Astyanax mexicanus: one gene and its partner. The protein of the gene in region 1 interacts with the protein of each later gene in a pairwise test. Links are inferred from orthologs where the notes say so. Each region holds a gene or a part of one and is shown on either strand. Other genes may lie near its edges. The genes, in order: nfyal and gtf2a1.

Region 1 (16,267 bases):
TATCACCAACACAACGCACTTTAACAAATTATAGAAAGCGATTTTATTGGTGTTTATCAAGTAACAAACTGCTAGGGGTTTCCTTATCCTAGTATTTATATATATTTTTGTATATAATTTTATTTCAATTCCCCCCCCCCCCCCATTTTCTCCCTAATTTACACATCCAATTACCCAACTCACTCATTAGGACTCCCCTTATTACTAGTGATGCCCCAACACCATGAGGGTGAATCTCTCCTCCGATACATATTAAGTCAGACTCCGCCTCTTTTCAAACTGCTGCTGATTGCTGTAGCATTGCCGAGTAGCATCACAGTGCGCTCGGAGGAAAGTGCAGCGAATCCGTTCTGATACACTAGCTCACAGACGTCTTGTGCTGATCGACATCACCCTTTTAGAGTGATGTGGGGAGCAAGCGCCATCTACTGTAGCCACCCAGAAAGAGCAAAGCCAATTTGGCTCGCTCAGGGCTCTGGTAGCTGATGGCAAGCTACATGAACAGGATTCATGGATTCTTATCCTTATATTCTGTACAGAAAGTTGCCTTGACTGTCAAAAAACTCCCTGCCTTTCTGTTCCACTGCACTGGGCTTTTCCTGCAGTGTATGAATGAGTTCCTCCAGTTCTGTGTCCGTGAGGAACACTCTATCAGAGTTCGATTCGTACTCAGTCTCTGAAATCTTTGCTTCTTCAGCCTCCATTTGCTCCTGATTTTCATTGGGCTGTTGCTGTAATGCACTCTGCTTCACAGATGGGAAAAGTGATATTTGAGATGTTCCTCTCGTCAGTGATGTATGTTCACCACCAGAGGGAACCAGTCCAGTCTCAAACTCTGCTGGTACCTGTGCTTCAGGGCTCAGAGCAGTCAAAGCACCAGTGTTGCCTGAGGAAAGCATGGGTGGCACAGAGCCGTCTGGCGTAGGCAGTCTGATCTGGCCCTTTTTGGACAGGTCAGTTTGTCCGTCTCTGAGAGAAAGAGGTTTGACTGTAGCCAACGCTTTCAAGTCCTGTTTAATCTTTCTTCCTGGAGGAGGAGTGAACTTGCTGCGGAGGATTCTGGAGATGGTGTCGGGACTGACTGAGAAACCTTCTGCTAATCTCTGCACGGTCCATTCCTGCGGAGACTCCTGCTTTAGGTATCTGTGAATAGATAACCATCAAGTCAATAATAGTATAAATATTCTCTTATATTCTGTAGACTTAACATTTTGGATGCAAGTGGGAGTCCCAGGCACTTTCCAAAAAAAAAAAAAAAACAAACAAACAAAAAAAAAAACTCATTTAGTTAATTGTATACTTTACTGTAACAATATTATCTTTATTCAAAATCATAAGTAAAATAATAGAAACTGAAGTAAAAAAAAAAAAGTAAAAAAAACCTCACATTTAAAACTACTTAAAATGTATTTCCCCCCTATCATGACTGAACCTAAATATTGTGTTATTTTTATTAAGGTGCTGAGATTTTCACAGTGAACACAACTGAAATGTCCACTGATATGGACACCAATACATTCTTGCAAGCACTTGGATCGTACATGGAACCACTCAGTAAACATATTGTGCATCATCTAAACCACCTAGCAGCACCTTATAAACTGCTTAGCCACACTTTAGCAATCAACCATTTACTACAGCAACTTCACGGTAACATTGTAGCAACCAACAGCTACAGTAGAGCAACACCTTAGCAACCACCTAGAAATACAATAGCATCCAGCTAACAACCACTTAACACCAAACCTTCCCACAGCAACTGCCTACAAATCCCTTAGTGACTGATTGATACAGCAAGGTGTAAGCTAATCAACCAACCTGTTATTATAGCAACTGAATAGAAATACCATAGCATCCAGCTAGCAACAACATAGCAACCAATCAACTACAGTAAAGACAACTTATCAACCACCTAGCAATACCATAGCATCCAGCAAGCAACAAACACCTTTCCATATCAACCGCCTAGCAATCCTGTAGCAACCAAAAGCTACAGCATAGCAACCACTTAGCAACCAACATTTTACAATAGAAACTGCATTTACCTTAGCAAACAACAGCTACAATATTGAAACACCTTAGCAACCACCTAGGAACACCAAAGCATCCAGCTAGCACAAACTAAGCAACACAATAGCAACCAGGTTTATGAATGTGTGACTGGACAGTTTGACCAGGTGATTCAGGACTCATTTCATGTCTTTTAAAAAGCGTTCAAAGAGCAATAAGAAATGTATAAACACAGAGATTAGATTTTTTTTTTTAAATATCAACAGTTACTGCAGTCAAAAAAGTGACAGTATTGGAGGTTTTCTGTTCTCTCATTATTCCACTATAACAGGGTGAATATGGTTTCCCATTTAAGGTCAGCTTCAAAAAACGAAAGTACCTTATCTGCTCAATTGCATCCCAGGTCAGTCTCCTCTCAGGGGCTCCACGCTCACTCATCTGCCTCCTGATCTTGTGAAATTTGGTAGCGTTTCTTATTCTTCGCTCCTCCCTGCAGAGAAACCAGCCGTCAACCACCTCAACCTAACAGTGAAACCAGACAAGCTGCTGATCCACAAATTCATGAATTCATGCTCTGACTTACTTTTCAAGCAACCCCAGTTTGGCTTCAACAGGATCTGTATCAAGCTCCTCCTCATAAGCATCCTCCTCCCTTCTTCTTCCTCTGTTGTCTGCAGCTGACAGCCTCCCAGCAGAGTTCATCCACATGCGGGCATCATGGCTGGCGTGGCATTGAACTGGTGCAATTCCAGGTCCTGGAAAAGCAGCGAGCTTCATCCAGCGGACCAGCCTCAAAGAGCTGAGCATGCTGACCAGTGGACAAGAGTGTCCTTGTACTGAATGTGATGGTGACCTAATTTATTAAAAATAAATAATATTATTATTATTATTACACGCCTGCTGAAAAATCCAACTCAAGACTAGATATAGCTGGTAGCTGGTTTCAGACAGTCCAAGCTGGTCTTTAAAAGGTGGCTATGCTAATTTTCAGGAATATACTATTGCAACAAAACAGTAATACATATACAAGTTCTATTTAAGCCGGTTACGATAAGTACATTAATCGACTTGTACAATAAATAAACATTAACTCAACTCAATTATAATCATGAGTTACATACATTCAGATGAAATAAAAAATGTTTGTATAAAATAATTATGTAACAAAATACAACATATAACAAACAATTATGTAAAAGTAATGTAACAACAAAAATCTACCACAAAAATAAAGTGTAGAATGTTTAGTGCTGTATATAAACAATGCAGACATTAAAAATAAACACAGTAAATAACCAAATAAATACAAAATAGAATCATTTTAAGAATATTGTGATATCACAATATGGATTTCTTTATCGTATAGAATTTTAGTCAATATTACTGCATACGATACGATATGGCACACCCCTAATCACAATGTCAGTGTTTTTCAGTACCGTGCAGCTCTATTATCTAAACACTATTATAAAAGACTAGAAGACTAAACTCTTAAATCAGACTCTCTCCCTCATTGGCATTACTCTGAAATACTGAACATCTAACAAAGTATGAATATTTCTCCTAAATTCCCAATAAAATATTGTCATATTGTCGAAATAGCAAAAAAAAATGCAGAGTTCAGAAATCAATATTTGGTGAAATAACCCTGGTTTGTAATCACAGCTTTCATGCATCTTGGCACGTTCTCCTTCACCAGTCTTACACACTGCTTTTGGATAATTTTATGCCACTCCTGGTGCAAAAATTCAAGCAGTTCAATTTGGTTTGACGGCTTGTGATCATCCATCTTCCTTTTGGTTGTAAGAAAGAAACACATAATTTTAAGTGCTTTCTAATTTTTTCAAGAGCTGTATAATTTTTATTATTAAGGTAGACAAGGTATCTTATTTGGTCATATATTTAAAATATCCAGTAATACTGTTGTACGAATATAATTAAAGTATAAATATGGCTTGGTTATTTCTTAATTTTTGTAATTCCTCGTACCACCTTAAAAAGGAGCCACTGTTACTGTAAATAGCTCAGTATCTGTCAGTTAAGTTAGTGCTGCGCTGTTTAAGGTGGACCGGGTCATTTAATTGAAAAAGCCATGCTCAGCCTCTTCACACGGCTCACCACCGCAAGATAACCCGCTGTAGACTGAATTATCAGCTCTAAATAAGGTGTTAAAAATAAAGGGCGTTACCTGTCCTGAGCCCGCGCTCTATACTGAGAGATAAGTTATTATAACTCGATAAAATCTTGTATCTAACTCCAAAAACCCGCAGCTCAGCAACCGCACTGAAGTCTTCTTCTTCTTCTTTAGGCAGACCTATACATTACTTACAGGTTCATTACCGCCCCCTGCTGATCTGGAATGTGAAGCAGGATTTTTGGATCGTCAACTGAAATTACTAGTGAATCTAAAAAAAAATTAGAATATCATTGAAAAGTTGCTTTATTTCTGTAATTCAGTTCAAAATGTGAAACTCATATATTATATAGAATTATTACTCGCAGAATGATCTATTTTTTATCATTAATTTATTTTATTTTGATGATTACGGCTTACAGCCAGTGTAAATCCAAAAATCAGTTTCTCCGAAAATTAGAATTTTGACAAACATACCAATTGGTACTTCTGGTAGTATGGGCAGTGTGCCAAGTCCTGCTGAAAAATGAAATCCACATCGCCATAAAATTTTTCAGCAGAGGGAAGCATTAAGTGCTGTAAGATTTTGCGGGAAAACAAAACTGCACTGACTTTTGTACTGACTTGATATAACACAGTGGATCAACACCAGCAGATTACATGGCTCTCCAAATTATCACTGAATATCAGTCTATTTTTGCATTTTATTTGAAAATCAAGAGACCAGAGTCTGTCAATCTGAATTATCATTTAGAACAAATAAATTAAATTACATTAGACATAAAAAGTAAATTAGATAGAATCTGCTGTAAGAATACATATATTCGCTACAAGAGCCAAATTATTTTAAACACTAAACAGTTTGGAGTGTTTTTAAAGAATCTACATTTATATATAATGGGTGATTCTCACGAAAAACAGATTTAAAAGGGTTCACACTTGAAAAATTTCAAAAGGCATTTAAATATAAAATTTCTTTTTGTTATGCAAGACTAGGGTCTGAACTTTTTAGAAATACTTTTTTTTTTTAATTTTATAATTTTTTTCTGTATATTTTGCACCATTTTAGTCAGTCAGAGCACACACATTCTCAGTACCGCAACATGATAACACAGAACAGATATGGTTTAAAAGTTACACATTTGTTACTTTTTAAATAGATATTATTAACAGTTGTGCTCATATGTGTATATAACCCAGAAAATATTATATTTATAAGTTTCCCATTTTTTTTTATTTTATGATTTGTCTCATTACCGCAACAGATTTCATGATTCATGTCCTGTCTTTTCAGGATATTTAACTGAAAAATTACATGTATAATTTCTTATTTAGTACAGATGACCTATGAAGAAATACAATTTATCCAAATACCATTATAAACTAGAATTTGTTTTATAACAGTAAAATAATTAGTAAATAAATATGTGTTGCGGTAAAGAGAATGGTGTTTCGGTAAAGAGAGTCAATGTTTCGGTAAAGAGAGTCATTACAAGGATTCCTACTTAATTAACAATAACACTTTACACAACAAACACAGAGTGTGAATGCTGTGAATAAATAACAAATTCTAATGATGTACTTCTTGAGTTTTGTATGGAGTAGTAATATTGAACAAAATGTGGTATTTGCTGTTGAAAATTAATCTCAGTAAGACTCAAGCTGTGAAAATATCCTATTTTGAACTGTGTATTTTAATAAAACAAATTTCAACATACCTCATTAGACATAAATTCCTTAAAACTTTAAACATCACTGTATAACTAAATTGAAATGGAATGTTTAAATACAAAATAAGTAATTCAACATCTCATAAAACAACTTTTTTATTAAGTATTAATTTCATGACAGATATAAACATCAATGTACAACTAAATTGAAATTAAATATTTAAGTATGAAACAAGCAATTCAACATCTCATTAAACATCTTTGTATTAAGCATTAATCTCATGAAAAATGTAAACATCAATGTGCAACTAAATTAAAATTAAAGATAAAATTAAAGAAAGTTGTTTAATGAAATGTATATATGTGTGTATATATATAATTTTCATATATATAATATATACATTTCATGAAACAACTTTTATTGTTATAAACTGTTAATAAAGGTTGTTTCATAAAATGTGTATATATATATATATATATATATATATATATATATATATATATATATATATATATATATATATACATATAAACAGTTTATAACAATAAAAGTTTATAAAAATAAATTTCATGAAACAACCTTTATTAACAGTTTATAACAATAAAAGTTGTTTCATGAAATGTATATATTATATATATGAAAATTATATATTATATATATATATATATATATATATATATATATATATATATATATATATATATATATATATATTATTTTTATATATTATTTTTTATATCTTATGCGGAAGTTATATGGGTGTCACTGCCCTGCTACATAAATCTGTTTTTTATCTGAAATTGCATCATGTATTGTTTTATATATTGTTTATTATAAGTAAATAAAGGCTTTTTTATGAAACAATATATATATATATATATATATATATATATAAGTTCATGTCACTTAAAACATTAATTTCTCTTTACCGCAACAGTGAATCTCTCTACCGCAACAGGCCTTAAATTGTTGCGGTGTATGAGAAGGCTGTTGCGGAGTATGAGGGACCTTAACCTTCTTTGATCTCTGTGGGGCCACCATGATGCCTGGCTAAACTTTTGCTAGCTTTTTGTATTTAGACTTTAAAAACCTTAAAAATTCCCAAAACACAATAACATTTTCATTTTTTTAAACATTAAAAACTAGCTGTTTCGGTAATGAGAAACAAAAAGTTGTGTATGCTCGCTGACAACCAAGTTTTTAACATTTATCTGGAGAGGTATAAAATTAGGTGCTTACCTGGTAGCCATCTTGGGTGTCATACTAAAAGGTGTCCCCCCTCTCAAAATGGCTGTTTTTTTTTCTGTTCCTTGTGGTCTTAAATGGTGCTTGAAAATTGTTGCGGAGGCTGAGAACATTGGTTCTGACCAAAGTTATTTTTCTAAATATTTTCTTTTCTTTTACCAATGAATTCCAAGTAATACATTTTTATTGACTGTAACAATTTACTTTATGAGATACATTTAAGTTTTTTATTATTTATTTATTTTAAATATTAAAATTGTGTAATTGAAGAGCCGAGATTCAGCAATGGACGCGTTGCGGTACTGAGAATTTCACACTAAATTATAAAAAATACATAATTTAAAATATCACAATGTCTACTTTTAATCACTTCCAATATAGCCTTTGATGAGATGTTTATAAACCAGTGTTTCCCAAATTGATAGCATTTACCTGTTCATCACACTCCTTAATGCCACCTCATTAGTCTGATTTCGTGAGAATCACCCTAATACGTAGCCAAAATAGTAACGTTATTAAGTATTTCAATTGTTATTAAGCCCCATCTCTCATTTCCCACACTTAATGCGCGCTCCCGCTGCGCACGCGCCCCCCTCCCATGCGCGTCACCTCTGCGTGCCTGCGCGCGCCGCCTCCTCCTCCTCCCTCCTTGAAGCTCCTGCCCCCCGCGCGCCTCATTTGCGCCATTTTGTGGGAGAGCGGTGGTGATTGGGTTTCTGCGCGCCGTACTGGAGCCAATCAGAGGGACACCGGACAACAGAGACACGGTAAAGAGCGCGCGGCTCCCGGGCGGCGGAGCTGACAGCGGGGATTGGTTTATCAGTGACCAACCAAATGAGTAAATGTGCTAAATACTGAGATCAGCCCGGCGCTGCGAGAGCAGGGCGGCCGGCGGCTCGGAGACACTAACGCGGCTAAAATGGAGGGTTTAGCGCTGGAGCTCCAGCAGCCCGCAGACAAAGGAGCTTAGCTAGCCTAGCTTAGCCTGGCGAGCTGCCTGCCTGTCTAGCCCGGGCTGCAGCCCGCTTACTGCGGCGGGCCGGGGGGCGAGTGCGCCCCTGCGCGTTATTAGCTAACCTAGCTTAACTAGATATTCAGTCGGTCTGAGAGGGAAAAATATAAAAAATAAGATACAAAAACTACAAAAAATCTCTCACTTCACCCAGCTAACGGACCTGTTTAGTGTGCTGTCTGAAATTAGCATGGTTAGCTCAAGTAGCTTCAAAAACAACAGCCTGTTTAGCTAGCTAAGCTAACTCTAGCTAACATAAACATGACCTAACCTCAGAGCACAGCTAACAAATAACTTAGATAGGTTAGTTAACTGCCTGACCTTAACATGTACTTTACCTTTAAATGTAATTAAAAAACGTTACCTTTTATAATTTGTTCATATCTAACCCTAGCTTGTTTTTGAACTCTGAAATTGAGCTGCAAATCTAAACTGAAACCAAGCACTATGAAAGAAATGGTTTTACCTATTGAGAATACTGCTAGCTAAGTTACCTTTAAAAGGTAAGGTAAATGTTAAGGTTAGCCAGCTAGCTATCCTAATTACAAGCTGTGTTTTAAGGTTATATCATGTTTGTGTTATTCTGTAAGTCTGAATCCCTCCAGAGGCTCTATATTAAAATGATAGCAGGCGTCCCACCTCTCCTGTGAATTCAATGATTATCACAAATACTAAAAAAACAGTTGCTCAGTGAGGCTCACAAATCATATAGCTAAAAGATCCTGCAAATTATGACATTTTATACCAGGTCCTTTTGGGAACAATAAAGCAAGAGCATCCTAATTGGTCTGTCTTTGTGCTCACTAGACTTAGCAGTAGGGGTGGGCAATATTATATCGTATACAATATATCGTGACACAGAAATATCGTGATATTAAAAATCCATATTGTGATAATAGAGATGTTCTGTCTTAAAAGTAGTCTATTTACTGTGAAGCTTTAGGTTTATTTATTGTATAATTGTTTTAGTTTGTAGTTTATATGCATGCACTAAATATTCTGCAATATTATTTGCTGCATTATATTATTTTATGCTATGTTATTTATTTTGCCACATTATGATTATGCTGTTATACTATTATACTATATTTCTGAAATTAATTAATTATTTTTCTGTTTTCCTATATCGCCAAGTATATCGTTATCGCAAAAATACCCTGAAATATCGTGATATTATTTTAGAGCCATATCGCCCACCCCTATACTAGACAGATATAATCTGGCTCTAGTAGATATATAATGGGAAATGAGAAATGAATGTGAATTTTTATTTAGCTAAAAACAACAAAAAAGTGGTACTTTGATGTGCTAATAAGGTGTAGGTGATATGGCACAATATTTCAGGGTATAATATCGTTCACGATATTCAACATTTTTGGCGATATTATCACGTACGATACGATATGGCACACCCCTACTGCTAAGTATACTGAGCACAAAGATCGAGCAATCGGGATGCTCTTGCAATATTGTTCTCAAGAAGTACTATACTATACAAGGTCCTATTTTGCAGAATGTTGTAGTTATATTATTTGCGAGCCCAAACAGAGCCTCAGTGTTTGTGAGAATCATGGACTTGCAAACAAACAAACTAGGGTAGGATAGCTGGCTAAACTTTAACATTTTACCTGGTAAAGTACATTTTATAATTTGTTATAATTGATTTGCTGCCAGTTTATTGAGCTCTTGCAGCTTCATTCAACAGTGGTAGCTACAAGTCCCAATTCAGTTTTTACTTTATAGGTCTCATGTAAAACGTTTTACTAATGAAAACTTAATTTTTTATGAAGCCCATAAGTCCCCATGACTTAATTCTTGTTCCCATGCCTTAAGTTGTGGGCATGCATTAAGATCTTGTTCCCACTATATTTATTAAGTCACAATATTACTGTGTCATGATATATTGTGTATGTTATGCAGCATACCCATAAAGACTCACAGTAAACAATAGACTGTTTTCAAAGCAGAACGCTTCTGTTACCCTACTGTGGATATTTCTTAAAGTCACAATGTTACTAGCACGATGTATTGTGTATGATATGCTATGACACACCCCTACTACAGATTAACAAAGCCATTCTGATTAATGTGATTATCTTTTAATGTGATTTTGACTAGTCATTTGTGGGGTTAATTTTCTAATTAGCATCTGAAAAATAAATTTGCCAATTCATGCAATGCACATTTTACCACTAAAAGGTAGGGATGCACTGATGTAGGAATTCTGGGCTAATGCCAATATCTAATATTACATACTTACATATCTTCCTAAACTGATATACACATTTTACACTCACAAAGAGACTAGACACCCCAGTATAACTTCTTATATAATAAATGAAACAATTATATACCTTGCATTTTAGCTTTCAATCTTTCAAACTCCATACAAACAATATAATGAAAGGTTTCTCCTGTAAAATACTGATGTAATTCTGATGTCATTGTGCATCCCTAGTAAAAGCTTAGCTAAACTAGTTAGAATGTGATGTCATTTGAAGTCATTTTGGGCTGAAAGCTGGTCATAGACCAGCCATTTCCAGATAAGATTGGTCACCCCTGATAAAAAAAATACAGCTCTCAAATTGCATTTGTACTCGTTTATTGCCGTTTTATTGATATAATATACATATTTACATCTATTATTTAGTTATAATGGATATATGCTAAAAAAAAAAAAAAAAAAATGCGTTCTCTCTCTAGGCTGGTAAAATTTGGGAGTAAAATGGAGCAGTACAACTCCACGACAGGTGGGGAGCAGATAGTAGTCCAGTCAGCTAATGGGCAAGTCCAACAGCAGGTAAGCTCTTTTTGAGGTTGTTTATGGTCTTTGTGTGATGTTTTTTTTTTTGTTTAACAGGACAGAAGCTGTGAATTTGTCTTGTATGAACTCTTTATTTTAAAGATGTTTATATTCCTGTGTGCATTTTTGACCTAGAAAGGAATTGGTTTGAGTGGTGTTAATATTTTGCATGATACATTTTTGCTTAATCCTGTAGCACACCTTTTCCCCAACTAATATATTTACAACCAGAGTTTTGCTCACAATCACGGACATCCCAACCCGCAAAAACTCAGTATATTGAGGTAGCATCAAGCCACATATATTTATTATTGTAATTTCTAGCTATGTTTATTAATATGTAAACAGCTGTGAAAGTAGCATATGCAATTGTACCATATTATTATACTATATTAAATTATTTTTCTGCTTATAGATTTATATATATATATATATATATATATATATATATATATATATATATATATATATATATATATATATATATATATATATATATATATTTATTTATTTATTATGTTCTATTCTATTATAGTCCTTTGGCCTCACTCATTGTGTATGACAGCAATAGAGGAGCACATCTAGCAGCTAATATACAGCTCTGAAAAAGAGAGTCCACTTCAGTTTCTGAATCAGTTTCTCTGATTTTGCTATTTATAGGTATATTATATATATTTGGTGGAATAACCCTGGTTTTTAATCACAGTTTTCATGCATCCTGGCATGTTCTCCTCCACCAGTCTTACACACTGCTTTTGGATAACGTTTATAAAGTTTGATGGCTTGTGATCATCCATCTTCCTCTTGATTATATTCCAGAGGTTTTCACTTTGGTAAAATCAAAGAAACACATCGTTTTAAGTGGTCTCTTATTTTTTGCTGGATATAAGGTATTCACAGGAGAGGTGGGATGTCTGCAATCACTTTAATGTAGAGCCACTAGCAGAATTCAGACTGAGCCATTTCACCTGGAAAAACAGGTTTACAAATGTCACTGTGCCAAGTTACAACTGCAACACTGTTGAAAACAGCTACAAGTGGTATTTATGAGGAGTTAATTAGCAGTTATATGGTTATATGGGCTTATTCACAGGCACAGGGCACAGTTACAGCTGTACAGCTGCAGACCGAAGCGCCTGTCGCTACAGCGGCGGGTCAGCAAGTGCAGACCCTCCAGGTAGTTGTGAGAACTCTGAGATTTTTCCAGTCTTATTCTGTCGCATGCAGCTTGTGTCTGTGGTGCTGTGCGTGAGCTGACCAGCATGCATTGCTTCAGTTTGAAAATGGGCCAGGGTGGAGTTTCCAAATCAATGTGACTTTGTAAAGTGCTATATTTTACTGTATATCATACATTAGATTCAGCACTTTTGGAAATTCCACCCTGGATCTGTTCATTGGGTCATGTATTTTATGATTTGTATTTAATTATTTTGTCATTTATTTGGCTTTTTATTATGGGTCTTTTAGTATATTATATCAGAGTAGCTGTGTTCCAAAGCCAAGGCTGCAGTCAAGAAAGATTTGATTTTTCCTCTGCTATGTTGTTGAAGGCTGCCGAAGCCCTGAGAGAGGACCATTGCCCTTGCTCTCTCTGGGTGATAGATGGTGCTCTCTCCCCTCTTCACTCCAAAGGGTGATGTCGATCAGCACAAGGCGTCTGTGAGCTGATGTAAGCGCTTTATTCTGAGTGGCTGTAATGCTACTGGGCAATGCTACATCAGCAGAAGCTGTAAAAGAGGTGGTGGTTGACTTCACTTGTATCAGAGGAGGCATGTGCTAGTCTTAACCCTTGTGGTGTTGGGACATCACTAGTGATGGGTGGAGTCTTAATGGTGGGTTGGGTAATTGGCCTTGTAAATTGGGGTGATTTTAAGGGCCCAAATGATGTAATGTTTCGTCTAGGGTTTTTCATCAGCATCAGTATCTCTTAGCACGCTTAGTATTAGTTAACGTCACTTAGTATTGGTACTCCCACTTCACAAACTGTTTTTTTTCCCAGCTGACAGATATGAGCTTTATAGGACTAGGATAGTAACTTTATCTGCTTTTGGTTTATTTTTAAATTTTAAGACACTTTAATTTAATGTAGTACCACTAGAAATGCTGCCTTATAGCTAGGTCTGTCACGATAATTACATTATCGATTTATCGTACAATAAATGGACATGACCTCAGTAATATTTGATAATCGTTATATCTATTGTGTTTAACTTCTACGGGCCTATTATGGCAGTAGGTGAAGGGGAACTAAGTGTATATTTCCCGAACTGTATGTCAGTGACATTTAATTGTCCTAAAATGACAATAATATCGTTTATCGCAACATTTTCTAGGACAATGTATCGCCCACTAAAAATTGGCATTGTGACATGTCTACTTGCAGCACCAATATCTCCTTTTTATCCCTTGCATACCCACAATGTTATGGGGGAGAAAAAAGAAATACAGCACTATGAGCATTGGGAAAAAAATTGAAAATGTATCTTTTTAAGCTTTTTGAATTGTTGAAAATTATTCAATTATTATTATTATTATTATTATTATTCATTGAAGAAAAAAAATGTCTTTTGTGTCACAGTGTCTCCACATTTGCATGTGGTGTCACCACAAATCCTTGTTTAACTGTGACCAATGAGCTACTGAAAAAGAGTCTTCATAAGAGAATCCTACCTCAAATTCAGCCTAGGCTTTGGAACACAGCAGGTTCACAAAGGCAGTCTTCGAGAGTCCTCTATTTTCATTGTTGAGCCTTTATTTTTTTATGTTTTCATACATTGCATGCTGCTTCATCTGCAACATGAGCGGTTTCATGCCTTGTGTGGTCGTATGTAAACTGTGGAAGAGCACGAGTGAATTGTATGTGCCCATGATCCCACAGTGAATTTGCATTGTACAGATTTCTAATGCATCGTGTTCAGCATGTTCTTCTAATATTGACGTGTTTGACTCATACATGTGATCAGTGCAGCCTTTCGCTCAGTCAACATTATCAGCCCAGTCCACTTCATCGCTTATGATGCTTGCTTATAGCTAGAGAGAGCAATTCTTTTATTGCTTTATTATAAAATAAGTGGATCAGTATTATTGCATTTTCAGTTCCCGGGCATGGATTAAACCTATTCATAGACTGTATTTTCCTTTCACCAGAAAGTCAAAATTAAAAAAAAAAAAACCTGTGCAGTCCAAGACTAGGCTTAATCTATGTCTGTGAAACTGCTCCATAGTTTTTTGACTTGTTTAAGATTTTAGCTGTGGATTGGTCTGATAACCTCTGTTTAAAACTGATGCTCAGTATGTATTTAACTGGCTGTCAGCAGCCTGAAGCTAAAGCTGCATGCAGATACCATCTGTCGCTGCTGGTGATTTTTTTTTTTTTCTTCTTCTTTTTATTTTTATTACGAGTTTAGCACCAAACTAACTGTGAATGGCTTTCTTCCTTTGTGTGTAGGTCCAAGGGCAGCCCCTGATGGTGCAGGTCAGTGGAGGTCAGCTCATCACCTCCACTGGGCAGCCCATTATGGTGCAGGCCATGTCTGGAGGCCAGGGCCAGACCATTATGCAAGTGCCCGTCTCTGGAGCTCAGGGCCTGCAGCAGGTATGAATTCACACAGGGTTGTGTATCGTTAGTTTGAACATATGATAAAATTTTTATGTCTTAAAGACGTGACGGTTGTCCTGTAAATGAAATGTAAGCAGAAATATTGAGCAAATTAACTTTTCATATACAGCTCTAGAAACATTTGAAACACCTCAGTTGTCTGAATCAGTTTCTTTGGTTTTGCTTTTTATAGGTATATATTTGAGTAAAATTAACATTATTATTTTATTCTATAAACTGCAGACAAGATTTATCCCAAATTCCAAATCGAAATGTTGTCATTTAGAGCATTTATTTGCAGAAAAAGAAAAATGGCCAAAATAATAAAGGTACAGTGCTTTTAGACCTCAAATAATGATAAAAAACCAAGTTCATATTCATAAGAGTTCTTAAGAGTTCAGAAATCAATATTTGGTGAAATACTCCTCCACCAGTCTTACACACTGCTTTTGGAAAAATTCAAGCAGTTCAGCTTGGTTTGATTATGTTCCAGAGGTTTTTAATTAGGTCAAATCATCAAATTTTGCTATTAAAATGAGGATAATACAAGAATTTTCACCAGAAGGGACCAATCATGTCAGGATCATAATGATGTATTCAAAAAACAAGCATGATGTGTTTGATTTATTTGATATTTTAAGTTGGACAATATGACTGGTTGCTTTTGTGCATATTGCAGTGAGCTTTAAATAATGGGATTTTTCGTTCAGCGCTTGTTGGACTTCAAGAATACTACACTACAGATGCAATAATCTAGTTTAGTCACATCTTTTTATTAATATAGTGTTTTTGTCCTGTTTGTTCTGCCTTCAGATCCAGTTGGTGCAGCCTGGACAGATCCAGCTGCAGGGGGGTCAGACACTGCAGTTGCAGGGACAGCAAGGCCAGGCTCAGCAGATCATCATCCAGCAGCCCCAGACTGCTATCACTGCCGGACAGAACCAGGTAAGTGCACAATTGCAAAATGATGGGAATGGCACGCTAGGGATTGGCATGCAGTTTCTTGATCAGGCAAGCACACCCCACACTTAAACCAGTGAGAGTCCATAAGCGAGACTCGTAGTGTGATTTTTACACTGGAATTGTTGGACCAGAGTCCGAACCAAGGGTTGTATGTTTTTTTTCCATGCATACAAATTGGACCATGGCTCAGTTAATTCAAACTGACACTACCTCTTCTGGTCAGACCCAGGTCCAATCCCATATTACCCCTTAGCCCTACCACTGAGTACCCTTTTTGTTTTTCTTCATAACAAGCATAAAATGCAAATTGCAAGTACAGACAGCAAGATGAATGCAGTATAAATACAGTATTGATTTGTTGGCATTTCAAGTTGCTGCAGCCAAAGACTGAAAATATAAAAAAATGATAATTATATTTCCAAGTCAGCTTTTAAGAAATCTATCACAGAAATTTGATTGTGAAATGTTGTCACAGGCCTGATGATTTTCTGATGTTTCCGTCGTTGTCTATATTACTTTAAGTCTTTTTGTCTCTTGCCAGGCTGCCATTGTAAATAAGAAACAGTTCTTAATGGTTTGCATGATTAAATAAAAAATAAATAACAAATAAATAGAGGCTGCAGCATTCCATAAAACAGAAAAATAAAATAAAAGCTAATTGCTGCACCAACTGCCCACTTTTTGAAGACATGGAATGCTCAAAGGTTAGCTATTTAGTTAACCAGCATGTTATATATCTGTATCGTTTTTTTAAAAAGTGGTCACAATTCTTACGTATTTCATCCCTTCTCCTCGTAACTCTGTTCCAAGAGGAAGGATACACCAAACAAA
Region 2 (16,933 bases), on another chromosome or scaffold:
CAGTAATATTCAGTAAAATTAAAAACTTTAGAATTCAAAACATCTCAGAAAACATAAATCAGTCACAGAAATCAATATAGTGAAGTACATGGAAATTATGAAATTAAATGGAGCTAATAACCACCCCCACTGTCTATGTGCTACCCTAATCACATCAAATGTAGCACAGCTGTAAAAGTGGAGTAACCCACACATGCAGTATAGGTTCATTAATGTTATGAGATCATACATTTTAAAGTTCTCACTAACCTGTGTGCGTGTTTCTATTATTAGATCAGTCCTGAGTGATTATTTGACCCGAGAGAAAAGCAGTTTACCCACCGATGATCCACCAGTGGAGCACAGATCTTCTTCCAGTCCCCGAAACAGCGTCCATCTCCTCTGCAGCCAAAGCCGGGAGGTCATCAGCAGAGTTCCAGAGCTCAAGCCGGAGCCCAGAGACTTCCCCCTGAGCGCCATCGCTCCGGCCTCTCAGCAGCCCCTCAGCAAAGCAACAAACTGCACCAAAAGCCGCCTTTCAAAACCGGGCGACACTCTCCCTCTGAAGAAGAGACGAACAGAGAAACGTCTGGCCGGTGACGCAGAGGACGAGGAGATGAAGGAGGCTGCGGGCTCACTGCTTCATCTGGCCGGAGTACAAGCCTGTCAGAATAAGAGCAGTCAGAATGCCTCCAGAGTCCAGCGGGAGCCGAGAGAACCGGAGAAAGACTAGCAAGACTTGCAGGAGGTCGAGCGATACTATTCTTGCTAGCCTGTTCTTCCTCCTCAACAGCTCCCGCACTTCCTTTTTTATGATGTCAGGTGAATTCATACATGGCAATATTGACCAGAAATCAGCGTTTTACTTGTGTTCAAGCACTATTTTTTTAACGGGTGTTGCTCACGCCTCAGTTGGTTTCTTGTGCACTCGAGTAAAGGGATATAAGCCATAGTGAAAGTCATTAAGGTGTGATGATTTTCAGTTTCCGCTTATCACATGGCTGACTAACACAGACGATGTCAAAATTCTTTCACCAGTAAAGAGACAGTGTAGACTTAGGCTGTTTTCACATGTCTGCAAACCTGAGTTTGAAGTTCTATAAAAACACTTCAACAGCATATTTATACATAAAAAGTAAAAAACATATTTTGTGAAGCAGCACTATTTACCCCTGGCAATTGTGCTTGTTTTAGCCTGACTTTTACTGGACTTCAAGTCTGTAGGTCTACCAGAATAGCGAGTGTGTAGCTCTACTTAAATAACTATTATTTCATCTCATTACAAAGATTGCCTTTAAATTTGTGTTGATTTGTTTTTAGTGATTATTCTACTGCTGACTGAAATACAACACATTCATAAAGCATTTAAAATATACATTCCTGTAGTCAAACTTGATAATTTAATAATTATACCTCATACGGTGTGTAACTGCAGGAAATCATTAAAATATGTAAAAGGGTTGGGAAGCACTGCCTCAGTCCATATGTAAGCAGATGTTTTACCTGCGAGTGTGAACATGACTGTGTTCCCTTAGGCGCTGATCGTGACTACAGAGGCAACAGACCGGCCTGTGGGAGACAGATCTGCCGGCCCATGGGTATTTAAAACAGAATTTGTGGCCTAATTACAGTGGAATAGCGGAGAGACATGAAACAGAAGTGTTTAGTGTTTCTAAATGTCAAACAGTACAAATTGTATTGTATAAAACTGTTATCAGATTAACTGCCCTTGTTATATTGTTTATTATTGTCCCTCATCATGCACAATTCCATGAATTTCTTGCAATTTATGTACTGTGGGATGTTTACATGCAGATGAGCCTCTTTATCACCCAAGCTCCAGAGCAAACTAACAAGAAGACTTTGGAAATAAAGTAGATTTAAGTCATTTTTTGTTTAAAGCAAAAAAAAAAAGAACTCGGGTTTGGAGTATGTGTGAAAACAGCCCATGATATCTCTACAACCTGCTGCTCTTACTTTGGGAAGTGCCAAAGATAATTCCTTTTAAAATGAGTGCAAGCTAATCCTCACGTTTAATCAGAAGACTAACTCACAAAACAGTGATGTTAAAACAGCCTGTGTGTTTCCTGTGTTCATTGTTCTCATCATGTTGATATGACTTGTTGTTTCTCTTTTTCAGGGGTGCACAGCTCTTTAATGAAACCTGTAAAATAAGTAACTAAGATTAGCTGAGCAGAAGCCAAGGCTACACAGTACATCAGTATTTTTTACTAAGCTGGATATCCTAATATTCTGAGGAGCGCTGTTTCTCCATGCTGAGCTGTAAGTGATCCTAGTGCGCAGTAAGCCTGCCTCAGCCTCTAATGTCTGCCAAACATTTTGCTACCAAATGGAAACATTTTCATAGTTCCAATGATTCATCTGAAGTTCCCAAAGGGACTGGATTAGTTTTACGCGTCTGTAAAACTAAAAATAATTTTACACATCTCCGCAGTCAGAAAACTCCGGATTTGATTGGTTTGATTGGTTTTCTGTTCATAAAGTTTACTGTTTAGAAAGTTTCCATTTTGGAAAGTTTTTGATTTGCAATAAGCAATGTGTTTAATCTCTGTGGACACGGCATAAAACACAGCATAAAACACCTGCCTAGGAAGAGAGCCTTGAGTTTGGATGGGACTAAAATGGTCAGACTAGTTCAGTGAAAAGCTAAAATTAAAGCCGATCCAGATAAAAATTAGATCATAGACGAGCTCATGTGAACACAAATTATCCCACGACACTAATGCATTTAAACCTGTTTGAATAGAACAGACTTAACCAATCTTGTCAGCAAAGGGCCGGTGTGACTGCAGGTTTTCATTCCAGCCAAGCAGAAGCACGCCGCTACATATAAGGTGACTGACCACCTGATTAAACAGGTGCAATCCGGTCTGCTGATGATGGTTTACAATAAAAATCTGCAGCCACACCAATCCTTTGTGGATGGGACTGAACACACCTGAAATCCCATTGGATTTTATAACACAGGGCATAAACATCTTGCCACCATGAAGAAATCCATGTTTCACTGCAGTTGCCAAGTTTAGGAGGCTTTAGCATTTGAGCCTCTAAAACAGGGACTAACACAGTAAAGGTCTTAGTCAAAAGTGAGAAACCACAGCTAATAGTGCTGCGTGTACGTTAGAGGACGTGGAAATGAGCAGGGCAGATAAATATATAATTATACCCATTGCAAGTACAAATTTCAGTGTGTGTGTGTGTGTGTGTGTGTGTGGGTGGCATTGAGCCTTGCTAAATGCTCCCAGTGTTAGCTAAGCTAACTAATAAGCAGTGAACAGACTGGACCACTGTTCTCCCCTTCTCTCTAAAGCTCCACATTTTTTGTGCTCACATTACAATTTAACCACTCCCCAATTCCAGCAAGTTTTGAAAAGGTTTGATGGAGTTTCATGTAAAACAGAGGAATCAAGTGCTAGCCTTCATGTGAAAAATGGAAAAACAGCTGTAAACATCATGAACATGAATGTACTCAGTTTGTTTTGAGCTGATTTAGAGAGGGAGTAGCGAACATATTCAGTAACAGTAACGTACTTTAATCTTAAAGTTACAATAGCTGTAATTATGAATTATGGGCTGTGCACTCCTGAAATTAGCCATTTTCTCATTTTACATAACAAAAAAGAAACTGGCAAATCTTCCATTCAGACATTTAGCTAAAGAGCAGGTGATATTTTTTAATGTTTCCAGCGCATGTTAAAAATGCAAAATCAGATGCAATATATGAACCCTTTCTGCCAAGTGTGATGTAAACATCTAGAGTGAATTCATAACTGAAGCACACTTAATACAAATATGTGTATTATATGAAGCAATGCCTATTGTGTTACAATATCAAAACGTACCAGTCTGTTTTTACTTGATTTATTTGATTTATATTGTTTTCTAGAACAACATCATTTTGGATAATAATGGATAATTTGCAATTTTGGATAAGTGTAAAAAAGATCAGAATTTTATTATGACTATTTTATTATTATTTTTTTATTTAAGCATATAATTTAGCCGTACGTTTTCTCAGTTATACTGCATGGGTGCTTGTAAATAAGAAGGTATTTTTAATCCACCATACTCAAAGATTAACGTATGATAGCTGATGTATTTAGCATGAAGCATGACTTATTTTCCTACGACGGTAGAACATTAGAGGTTTTTCTCTCATTTTTTTATCCCGTTGCTGTACGGATGGTGTATCTTTTCTGCAGACGACTCTTCTAACAGAAGATACTTTATGGATTTTAACTCTCTGGAGCTCAGGATTTTTATTTGGGCTTCAGGTGAAACCGATGCTGTTTGTTTGCGATCCTCAGTTTTGGTGGTCCACAAATTGTCAGTGTTGTTGTCCAGATATTGTAGAGAATCAGTGTTGAGTGAGTTTTCACTCTTTACACCCTTTAAGCTTGTGCCTGCCTTCACTATGTGTGCTCAACTGTCTTTATATGGTTTTATTTTTTATTTGATTTTATTTTTGTATTGGTGTGGGTAGTTTAAATCAGATTAATGGGCCCATATCAGGATGTTTCTGACATTTGTTAATATAATATTATATGAAAACATTGCTGAAGTTTCAAAGCCTCTTAGTCCAAACAGATTATATATGGAATACAAATCTAAAAAATCAGATGGCACAAAAAAATGAAACAAAATCTTAACCTAAATCAAACCAATAAAACTGTAGCTGTTTAGCCACACCCATTCATGATACAGAGAAAAGATATGGGCCCTTTAATTAATACAATCAAGTTGGCATTAAACGTTTGTAATAAGGATGCATGATGACATCAGGATCATATCAGTGTATCTAATCCCAATTATTACCATATATTTGACATGTCCAAAAGTATCATTACAGCCCACTCTAATAATAGAGTTCAGTCACATTGCTGACATTCACACACAGTGTGATCTACATAGCACAGCATTGACCAATTAAAAGGGGACACTCTGGAGCAGTCATGAGCACATATAACCATAAGGTCACCATGCCTAGTGCAAAGCATGGGCTGACAGGGTATAAAGCCCACCAGCACTGGGCTGTGGAGGAGTGAAAATGTGTTCTTTTAATATTGAAGCTGGAGTGGAACAACTGTGAATCCACCGTCAGTAACTGTCCTCACTGATGCTCTTACTCTTGGGGCTGAATGCAGTCAAATCGAATCCTCCTCATATACAGTATTCCAACAGCTAATGTGAAGTCTTCCCAGAATACTAAAGGCTGTTAGTGCAGCAATTGATCACAAACATCCTGTTAATACCCTTGATTTCAGAAGCAACACTAAAAGTGTTTGGACGTGTGGCATTTATGCATGAAAAATATCACATATTGTAATCCTGCTGTTGGAATAAGTAACACATTTGATGAATGTCATTATAGCTTCATTCATCTCAACACAATCCCACTTTACATGGCCCAGAATAAGCTTTCTGTGCCATGAAATTCACCTTTAATAATAATAATACTCTCTGCTGGCAGTATATGTTATAGCATATATATACCTTTGGAAGCCACAGTTACCATCATCAATAGTAAAGTCATGTAGTTTTATATAAAGGTTTTCTGACCCAGAAAGGTTTTCTGTGTAGAAAGTGCAGATTGTAAACTGTGAATCCATCCACTATTTGTACCATTTGTGGCATCAAAACAGAAAAAAATCAGAATTGTAGGCTGCTCCCTGTAAAAGCATTCCGAATGTTAAAACAAATCATTAAATAACTCACTAATTGCATTGTAATATAACAGCACTCTTCTTGTCTTCTAAAGGTTAACATGCTGCTGAGTTTTGATCTTTGAGATTTAATCCACACCACAATATGTAACACACTGTGTATATGAGCATAGCCTGCTGTTAATACGACACTTAATAAGACACACACAAATTCAGCTCTTGAGTCGAGTTTGTAACTAATGCCAACATGACTCAAGCAGAAGTGTGCATGAGGTTCAGGAAAGGTTTTTAAGTTTCGTTTTTTGTTTCAACTCTCTGCAAGTTTTTAAACCACCACTAATAGAATAGTGATATGTGTCTTGTGTTGTTGACACTTGTCTTTACATGGTATTTGTGTCCAATACTCAGATAGCAATCCCATGCAAAGTAAATCTGCCAATTTTCTCAATGTGCAATCATGACTGCCAAAGAACACGTTCATGACTACCTGTAAATAACTTCACACTCTCTTAGGTAATGAAAAAAACAATGTCATGTCTTTACAATCATTTGTTTCACTTGAGAATTACATACAATGTTTATGTAATGTATTGTCTTCCAGTTGCAATAATAAAGGATCCGTTTTAAAGGGATTTTTTTGTGCAAAATTTCTTTCAATGGTATTAAAATTATTGCTTTACACTTGATGGAAATTTGTACTGTAAATATGCAATACTATACTGTAAAACATTTTACAAGTTCATGACAAGCCTATAACATTTATGAGCAAAGGACAAAAAAGTAGCTAATTGTTAGTAATTGGTTATTTAAAGTAATCTGAGTTGATGCCAGTTTTCTAAATCTGCTTTACTTTAAATGCCCAAAATCCATTGTTGTTACACAACACGGGGTCAATAAACAAGAACGTGCTGATCTTATTTAATCACATGCTACATGCAGTGATGGTGTATCCGAAAAGAACATGTAAATCTACATTAAACCAAACATCCCACCACATCTTCCATTCTCAAATTATGGCTTATAAAACAAAAACAGAGGAAATATTGTGCTTTAATTGCCTAGGTTCAGTCTGCCACTGAACTGCAGCATAAGCACAAGATAGAGGAGCAGTTAATGCTAAAACTAAAGCAGTTTTAAGAAACATGGCATCACAGAGTATTCACCCACACTAAAAACAGTTATTACACACAAGCAGCTCACAAACAACAATTATCAGCTCAGAGTGTGTGTACTCTACACACACACCACAGGAAAATGACTTCACTGCAGAGTTTTAAAGGAACAGTGTTGAAACTCTGCATTAGCTCACAAAGGATATGTTCCAATTGGGTACTTCTAAATAGATTTGAGTATGAAGTATGTAGCATAGATAAAAGTATCAACGTTTAGTATACTCAAATATCCATAGTGGATGTTTAGGTTGTGTAGATTGAAATAGCAACTCTCTTTGCTTCCTGTTAGTACGAAAACAAATTAGTATGGTATTATTCTGTGTATTTCACCTGCTAAATTAACGCCCTGTTCTGATTGGCTGCCTTTTGTCGAGCCTCAGTCTGCTGTTTTGACATGTATAAAGAAGTAGAGACCTAGACCTGAGTAAAAGTACAAGTGCTCTATCAAAAAAGTTATTTGAGGAGAAGTTAAATTTGAAGTATTTTTTAAGCTCCACCCTTAAGGGGAAGTACTAAAATATTCAACAGTTTTTGTGTATAAGTATTGCAAGTAGTTTATAGTAAAATGTTAAACTAAAGTACTGAGTGTAAAAGTACAGTATTGTGTTGTGTAGTTATTACAGAAAGCAGTGGAAAGTTCTCAGAATGAAAGGCAGAACAGGAGCAGTGAGGTCTTCTTATAAGACCTCATCAACATGATCGATTGATTTGCTCAATGATGAGTAGCTTAATCTAACCCGGTGACAGTGCAGATCATCTACCGCTCTGGCTTTAGTGATAATGTGGGTTTGGAATAATTTCTAACATTTATAAAAATGATAAAATAATAAATAATACCCCAGAAGATACAACATTTTAGTATTTATGTACAGTAGCGAATTAAATCTACCGTATTATTAATCTCTGTAAAGGCTGAGTATATACAGTTGTTTCTGAATATGGCTGCAGTTCTTAAAGACTTGAGTGAACAGAGGTCTCAGACTTTAGGGTGAGTGTAGTGAAGTGTGACAGCTGAGGGTCATTCATAATTAAACACACACAGCCCTAATGACCAGACCCCTCTCTGAGCCTTTGCACAAGCAGCAGCACTCTGTTGCTATGGAACCACAGGAGGGATTTTATTTTTTTAAACTGTATGACATCACAATACGCTCACATTGAATATATTGGGTCACCTGACTGTAATGCCCTACCTCCTGCTTTCATATCATTGCATCCTTGCCAACTCATAATCATTTGTGTCCCTGTAAATCTATATAACTATTCTCTTTACTATTCTCTCTTTAAATTTGTTCATGATTGACAGTTTATGTCATGTTGTATTATTTACAGTTTCTGTTCTAGAGAATTTTTTTCAGATGATTTTTTCAGAAAATTGTATTTGTTTGGTATGTTCAGGTATGTTTAGAGGAGTAAAGCATTCGACCCAAAAACACAGCTCTTGTATATTGCACAAAGTGAATAGAATAATGAAGAGGGTCTATTTTCAAATGTTTTAATACAACGTTAATCCATCAGCAACTATGATATATTTGAGAGTAACTTCTGCTCCTTCTATAGCTTAAATTGGCAGTGGTGGCTCAACGGTTAAAGTACTGGGCCAGTGGGCCATCGACTCCTGGGTTTGGCAGGCTGCCACTGTTGGGCCCTTGAGCAAGGCTCTTAACCCTCACTGTTCCCTGATAGCTCCGGATATATGTTCAACAATATCACTGTGTGTTTTCACTAGTGTGTATATGTGTGTTCACTGCACAAATGGGTTAAAGGCAGAGGCTAATTAACTACAATGTGGGACTAATAAGACATGCATTAATATTATTATTAAATACGATTTTCTTGTTTAAATTAACACAGTGCAAAAACAATACAAATCATTACATAATAGCATATTAAATATATTCATATTTCATACATATTCCATCTTTCCATTATGCTTAATTCAACAAATAAATAAATATAGTGTTTAAAATGTGAATAAAATGGCATTTAAATTTGCTGTTTGAAGATTTACTTATTTTGACTTTGAAAGCAAACGTATATCAATTTATGTCATTTCAACATTTGAATAAAACTTTAAAAACAGCATAACTTTGCAGATGGGGTCATTTTTCCACTGATCACACACACACAAACACACACACACATACACAGTCTGCTGCCCTCGTGTGGTGGAATGCAGTTATTATTAATATTGGTTAGATTAAATGTATTAAAAGAGTGTTAAATGGATTATCACTGTTATCCAGTCCTGCGGTCCTATATAATGCACTTTAAATCTAATAGAGAACTTGTGGTAAGGTGTAAGGTTTTTTTTTTATGTATTGCTTACAGTACATCATTTACCAGGGAGCTTAAAACTATTGTTCTGCTGTAGAATTCTATTTTAATTTTGCTGTATTATACGATATTTAACTATGTTTGGTAATTTTGTTATTATGTAAATGTAATATAATATAATATAATAATTATAATCAAATTAATCATCACCAGCACCAATTTTGTTATATATATATAATAATTTGATTTATCTACTGGCTTTATCTCCAGTTAAAAATTATGTGTAAATATATATATATATATATATATATATATATATATATATTACCCCTCTATGCATATTTTGGTAATAAAAAAATAGAAAATAACGTAGTTTTATAAATGTACTAATTCTTTTTAAGCGCCTCCCCCGCCTCTTTCTCTGTGATCCGGGTCCTGTCTCGTGCCTGGCGGTCTCGCGATACCGTGACGCAGGCGAGCTAGCTATTTGACGCATGCGCAGCAGCCTGGCTGTGTGTATAAAGCAGCACGACGGCGGCGGCGAGACGGCGGGGGACGGAGCCCGGGACCCGCGCGCTGATATAGCTTATATACCGAGCTCACGCAGCCCACCGGACAGCGCGCGGCTTCACCTACACACCTTATGCGGGCAGCTGCGGGGCGCGCGACCGCTCGGGTGTAGTTTAATCAGAGCTGCAGCAGCGCGGCGTGTCTGGCGCTCCGCCCGCGGTAATGGCGAGCTCGGCTAACTCTAACCCGGTGGTAAGAACCCGAATCAGAGAGAACGAGGCGAGGGCAGTGAGCAGGCACGAGGGCGTGGAGTGCCCAAAAGCGGTGAACAGAAAGCAGCAGCAGCGCGTGAGAGCGGGGCAGTGTGACCTGCGCGAGCGGGTGTGGAAACCCAGCCCATGCTCGGCCTTCCCTCTAATAAAAAGTGTTAGGCACACGAAATCGGCCATGTTAAGTCCTGTCTCTCTGCAGGCGGGGCTCACAAAGCAGCCCCGCACTACAACTACTACTGCTGGAGTGTGATATATATGTATATATTAGTTACTAACTACTATAAGATTACTGTTATATATTATATATTACAGATAGTGCTGCATTAACAGTGCTATAATAACGTGCGTTGTCTTAGTTTATCTACAGGTTTACTGGGATACTCTCTCTTTGTATTTAACGATAACTAACTGTCATTGTCCGTGTGCTGCTGTTACTCCGAGCTGTGTATATATAACTTACAAAGCCCCAATACTCATATTTTAGGTTTAATTCTGGCTTTGTATCATTTTTTAAAAAGCTGCACCTCCTGTACACTCTACTCTCATTCATCTCCAGCTAACTCTCTCCAACCAAGTCAGGCGATATGATTAAAGTTAGCTTTTTATTGGAATTCTACCGTTCCACCTTAAATCCCGCAGCGCTAACATTCCGGTGCTGTTCAGGCGCCAGACTGTATCCGCTGCAGGATTTAAGGTGGAACGGGGTAAATTCCAGTAAGCTCAGAGAGAGGGAGCCACTCCGCGCTGCAGTTAGTTAGCACTAGCCTCGCTCCTGCGCTCCTCTGACCCTCCCTCCCGAGCAGCCCGGGTTATATACGGCCCCGCGGCCGCTCTAATATCCACCCAGACCGGGATGGGAAGGCGCAACTCCGCGCCACGTCACCGCCGGAGCTTTAAATAGCACGACGGACGGAGGAAGGGAGGGAGACCAGACTAGGACATCAGGGACTGGACACTGTGGGGCTATAGCTCTCGCTCTCTCCATAACCCTCTGCCTGTTCCTGACACCTGCTATTCATCTGTTTAGGCTTATTTTAAATCATTATGGGCCATGCGTTGATTATTATTATTTATTATTATTATGATTATATTGCACTTAATTGAATACTGTGCAAACCGATTGTACAAAAAAAAGAAGAAACTCTATGGTAGTTTAGTATGTATTCATCTGCCTTTAATGATGCTCCCTCTCCAGCCTAAACTCTACAGAAGTGTGATGGAAGATGTGATCAATGAGGTCCGAGAGCTATTCCTGGATGAGGGTGTGGATGAGCAGGTCCTTATGGAGCTCAAAACGGTAAATGAGCTTACCTTTATCTGAAAAGGCCACAAAACATTTTAAGAAGCTGTTCAAATTGTCACTTATTTTATTTTTTTGTGTACACTAGGGCTGCAACTATTGGTCAATATAAATTCATTTTAACTTTGCAGACTACATATTTCATTGTCGACTAATTGTTCATTTGTAACTGTACCACATACACAAAGTGTCTCCAAAGGTGCCAAAACACAACAAATTACATATTTAAACACTAAATATCAGCACTTTCCATTCTTAAACATCATCAGGAATAATAGCTGACTACTCGACTAATCGAAAAAACAATCAGATTAGTCGACTACCAAAATAATCATTAGTTGCAGCCCCAGTGTACACATACAAACCTATATTGTACACACATTGAAAACCCCCCAAATTGTTTTGCTATTTTAATGATTGTTTCAGGATGTGCTGAGAGAATAGTGAAACTCTATTTGTTTTCCTATAAATAGACAGCCATCACTGAATGGTGGAAAGAAGAATGTTGATTGCGGTTAAAGTGATATTACATAAAATAATAATCTAGTTAAATTAGTATTCTATAGGGTTCAGTCAAGCCAGCGCCACTCTGAAGGCAACCAATAAAGTCAAAATGAAGGATGTTTGTTTTAAACTATTATTTACAGTGGGTAGTCAAATATATTTTATCGTTTTGTATTTATAGATATATATATATACTGATATAGATTTTGATATCAGGCATCCATATACTCCTACGCATTAGTCTGGACTAATCAAACCAGTATACAGTGAAGTGTGCGATTAAAAAAAATCATACCCTTAAGCTTGTTCGTTGTTGTACGGATTGTATATTTAACTTATGACGTAATGACTGTGACTTGTTTAAAGTAAAAAAAGTATAAATCATTTATCAATAACTAAGTAATAAATAAAAAAATATATAAATTTGTAAAATGAATAAGGGTCCGGTTGTCTCCAGTCGTGCCCTTTAATGGCTTTTTGTGCTGTGGTTACTAGACCTGAGAAATGCTTCCTTGATCACCAGTGCTGATTCAGCTTTCTCAATCAAATATCTAAATAGTGCTGACTGATGCCTCCTTGAGTCATTGGTGTAACCCTCAACTGTGGCCTGATCAATAACAGTTATGTGATTAAATGTGACCTGCGCTATTGATCCGCTGTTGTGTTGCAGCTGTGGGAGAGTAAGCTGATGCAGTCGAAGGCTGTGGACGGCTTCCACACTGAAGAGCAGGGTGCTCTGCAGGTGCAACAGCAGGTCCAACAGGTTCAGCAGACCCAGCAGCCCAGTCAGCCACAACAAGTTCTCCTGCCACCGGCCCAGCAAGGTCAGAACAACATGTACTTGTACACCTTTACAGTTGAATGACCTTTTTTTTTTTCTTTTTTTTTTTTTATTAGTTTGAAGCTTCTCTACAAAAACGCTTTATTTATTTTAATATAATACAATAACGCAAATTAATATGGAATACTACTAAAACAAGAACTTGCTTTCCCCACAAACAGCACCACAACAGCAGGTGATTGTACAGGATTCCAAAATCCTGCAGCACATGGGTGCGACCGGCATGGTAAGTATATCCTTGCCGATGAGAATAAAGTTTCAGTTTCTGGAACTCATGCTAACTGTACCAGATTACAGCAGGTGTCACTTTGAAAAAATATTGGTGTCTTACTCTGCTATTTTATTTTCTGTTTAGTGAGATTAATGTGACTTTTTGTTTCGTGTTTTAAATTAAATACATTTTCTATGATCAATGTTAAGAGCGCAGCTGCCACAGCGGCAACCTTGGCGTTGCCTACCGGAGTAGCAGGTGTAGGGCCCTACCAGCAGCTCATCACAAGTCAGGGTGAGAACATCTGATGTATTACTTTTTAGATTAACATTAAATTAACATTTAGATTAGTAGTGTGTGTAGTGTATTATGATAAGTTTTTTTTTTTTTTTTTTTTGGCTGGCCAAATAAACTGCGAAAGCCTTCTTTAAAAATAGCAATGTGAGAATTTGTATTGCTTTTAGGCTCTCCTGATAATTTTATCCATCTATCTCTTTCATCTACACGTGGATTTCTTAACAAAACTATAATACTCTTAATGAAAAATTTCATCTGAGCTACATTACATGATTTTACACTGTTACCGGTTAATCTGGTATTTTTTGGGGTCCAGCCAGTACATTCAACTATGAAGGAAGTACAGCTCAATGTCAGTGGGCATTCAAACACAAGGTCTTGCACTGTTAAGATTTTCATCTAGTCTGTAAACATTTAAGACTGAGATATGCTGTCACAGTAAAATCCTTATTAGTTTAACAATATTAGCTTTCTCTTAATTTGTTTGAAGACTATATTGTTGTAAATTAGTACTGTACCCCCAATAGGACTATTAAAATGGGCTATACTTGGACGTATTTGTTTATTTTTAGTTGGACAATTTTCAAAATGATGTCCTTGCACATGTCCATCCTGTCTCTATATACATGCTCAGGTCTTGTTTAGAGTGTTAGATGGGGTAATTGGATTGTTGACTTGCAGAATAAGCTGGATTAAATTGTGACTGGTTGGTATCCAGGTCAAATCCTGCAGGTGGTGAGGGCGGCTAATGGAGCTCAGTACATCATCCAGCCTCAGCAGCCCATCATGGTCCAGCAGCAGGTCCTGCCCCAGATGCAGCCGGGTGGAGTGCAGGCCCCCGTTATTCAGCAGGTAAAATTTAACCAAATCTCACAGGCAAGAAAATATATGTTAAGACACTAGACTTTTTGATGTTTGTATTAATCTTGTTTTAATGCCTTAATAAAAACAAATTTCAACACTTTCAACAATTGATAAGTGGTTAAATATACTATTATGATATTGATCAACTGATAACATTTAATAAAAAAAATATATACATTTGAGTGTACATAGTACACGTAGTGTAAAAACACAACTGTTCAAGAAATGGTGAGCTTCACACAAGGTTTGTTTTACTTGATCATGACCAAGTGAGCAGGATGGTACTGTGAGGTATGCACACTGTTACATTGCTGAGTTTGCCATTCCAGCTGTTCCAATAAATAATCTGATAAATCAGGTAATTGGGCAGCTAGAAAAGTGTTGCAATTTTGGGAGACTTTCCTAGCAAACTCAAGACATAACGCCCCAGAATAGTCTAAGCTACTGCCATGTTTGCTGTATTATTGCAATATTCAGAGTTTACCTTACATTTCATCTATTTGTGTTTGTGTACGCAATTATTCATCTTTTATACAACAGTTAGTTCCGACCTCACAATCTGATTGGTTGAGAAGTGATCTAGCCGTTTTGATATATGTGATAACATCACGGCCTTCTCACACTAAACCTGTATCACTCCGCGGACGCGTTGCCGAGTAACGGCATATACACACAGGGCACCCGCAGCAGCGTTAGCTTAGCACAGGCTAACGCTCAGCCGGGGCACGCTCGCCCGCAGCGCTGGCTCGCCTTTCATGGGGAAAAAAGGGAAAGGAAATCGCTCGGTTAATGCCGTCTGAGAGCCAGAACGCTAACCAGCCAGGCTAGACTAAGCTAAGTTTATGCTAAGCTAAAGCAAGCTACGCTAACCTAACCACCGTCCAGCCGGCTAGCTAAAACCAACACCACCCAGCAAAACAAGCAGAAATGCTCAAAAAATGCACAGCGTTCACCTGAAGACGACTCAACGGAGCAGGAGAGGAGAGTATTAGCGTTACTTCACGCTCCTAACGTTTACCATCTTCGCTTATTCCCAATTTTGACTTTCGTGGTGTTAGTCTGTATGAACCATACACCGTTTTGTAGTTCAGTTTCAGTTCTGTTAGTTTTTGTGGACTACTTTTTGGCGGAAGGCACAGTCCATATTAAAGCATATTCACTCCTAATTTCTTAAAGATCTTTGATTTATTTTCTTTATTCATTTTGTAAAAAAAAAAAAACTGTTGTATAAAAGCAATAGAACACTCGAGGTCGTGTGTTATCACGTATCATTACAGATAGGTTTACCCTGTTTGTGTATTATGATTTACTAATAATATATGTTCATAATTCGTGATAACACACTCCCTCTCGTGTTCTATTGCTTAAATAAAGCATACAACAGCAGCCACTTCAGAAAGTGATCGAGGTGTTTGGAGACCATTTTTAATTTCGGTTTAGTGTTATTTATTAAACATTTAATTTACAGCAGTGCCAGCATGATGCTAATTTTGACAATTAACTGTCAAATTGATTGTGATGGTAAAGCTATCTAGACCAAAGTTAAAAGGTTTAAGTGTATGGCATCTTCACATTCCCAGTGGTTAATACTATGGCCTATAGATATAGATACTATTCATTACAAGCAGTAACGTGTGACTGAGTGTCTAATAAGAATAAAGACATTAAGTTCATTAGTATGCTGCTAATGGAGAAACAACACTAACAAATCTCCTCTTTGTTTTGTATCTGTTTAGGTCCTGGCTCCTCTGCAGGGTGGCCTCCCTCAGCAGACGGGAGTAATCATCCAGCCGCAGCAGATAGTCCTCACAGGGAACAAAGTGCAACAGAATGCTCAGGTCAGCATAGCAAGGCACACCGCACCTTTTTTTATTGTTTGTTTTTTGTGCATGCCTTTATCTTGGCTCATTATTGCATTTTTATTGTTCTTATCGCCTAATCCTTTAAAAATGTACCTTTATCTGAACATGTAATTAATTGGATTGTGTAGTTACTTACCTTGTGATTTTGGTTCAGGTCATGCAAGCAGCCATGGCTGCGCAGGCAGGTCAGGGAGCTGCACAGATCCAGGCCCAAGGCCAGCCTCAGCCTCAAGTACAGTCTCAACAGCAGCAACCAGTGCAGCAACCACAGCCGCAAACCCAGCCGCAGCAGGCTGCCCAGCAACAGCCACCCATGATGCTGCAGGTGGATGGGGCTGGAGACACATCCTCTGAGGAGGATGAGGAAGAAGAGGACGAGTACGATGAGGACGAAGATGAAGACAAGGATAAAGATGGTGCGGAGGACGGCCAGGTGGAGGAGGTCTGTATCATTGTTTATATCTGCACACTTCTAGACATCTTTACAACAATAGTCAGTTGTAATACAGAAATGAGCACATTCAGTTGGGTTGCTTTGATTAAGCTTCAAAATGGGCAGTAATTCACTGGTTTGTTTGATTGGATGATCATGCTTTCACATGACAACATCACTAATAATATGTTCATAATTTTTAAACGTTTATTTTTTTTATATATATATATATATATATATATATATATATATATATATATATATATATATATATATATATATATATCATGGAGCAGTGTGCATATGTTGGGTTTGAGCTCAAACTGAACATAGTAGTTGTGTTTGTGCTTTAACCATCCCTGTCCTTACAGGAGCCTCTTAACAGTGGCGATGATGTGAGTGACGAGGAGGACCAGGAACTGTTTGATACAGAGAATGTGGTGGTGTGTCAGTACGATAAGGTGTGTATACTTGGGTCCCTATTACAGAAGAACCCTAACTCCAAAATGTATCGTCACCATCAGTTGATTTTAGGATGGTGGTGTATTCTTGACACAAGTTTTTATTCATGTACACAAGTGTAATTCAAATATATTTGCCTAACATGGTGTTACATACTGGTGTTTTAATATAATTATAATCAGTTCTAAAAGAAAACTTACAGACTGCACAGCCTTTTCCTTCCTTCCTTCTGTTTGTCTAGGCATAAAGATGAGTGTTTTGTCTT

The links.
Region 2: the proteins of nfyal (region 1) and gtf2a1 interact in binary tests that used the Homo sapiens proteins (3 or more experiments, as listed by UniProt). The two-hybrid records come from large-scale screens. The link is inferred for Astyanax mexicanus from reciprocal best matches to the Homo sapiens genes NFYA and GTF2A1.

The regions. Positions count from the first base shown.
Region 1 is NC_064419.1:41,608,902-41,625,168, reverse strand, and holds the start of nfyal (nuclear transcription factor Y, alpha, like), read left to right. Parts: upstream 1-7,695; 5' UTR 7,696-7,827; exon of another isoform or gene 7,828-7,898; intron 7,899-10,775; 5' UTR 10,776-10,797; coding exon 10,798-10,872; intron 10,873-11,968; coding exon 11,969-12,055; intron 12,056-14,323; coding exon 14,324-14,470; intron 14,471-15,286; coding exon 15,287-15,418; intron 15,419-16,267. Other genes in the region: ngrn (neugrin), read right to left, coding at 525-1,143, 2,390-2,500, 2,594-2,817. UniProt on the Homo sapiens protein: Component of the sequence-specific heterotrimeric transcription factor (NF-Y) which specifically recognizes a 5'-CCAAT-3' box motif found in the promoters of its target genes.
Region 2 is NC_064408.1:88,789,705-88,806,637, reverse strand, and holds the start of gtf2a1 (transcription initiation factor IIA subunit 1), read left to right. Parts: upstream 1-9,624; 5' UTR 9,625-9,844; coding exon 9,845-9,874; intron 9,875-11,089; coding exon 11,090-11,191; intron 11,192-12,368; coding exon 12,369-12,522; intron 12,523-12,700; coding exon 12,701-12,765; intron 12,766-12,959; coding exon 12,960-13,044; intron 13,045-13,765; coding exon 13,766-13,899; intron 13,900-15,647; coding exon 15,648-15,749; intron 15,750-15,927; coding exon 15,928-16,215; intron 16,216-16,577; coding exon 16,578-16,667; intron 16,668-16,933. Other genes in the region: ches1 (checkpoint suppressor 1), read left to right, coding at 274-712. UniProt on the Homo sapiens protein: TFIIA is a component of the transcription machinery of RNA polymerase II and plays an important role in transcriptional activation. TFIIA in a complex with TBP mediates transcriptional activity.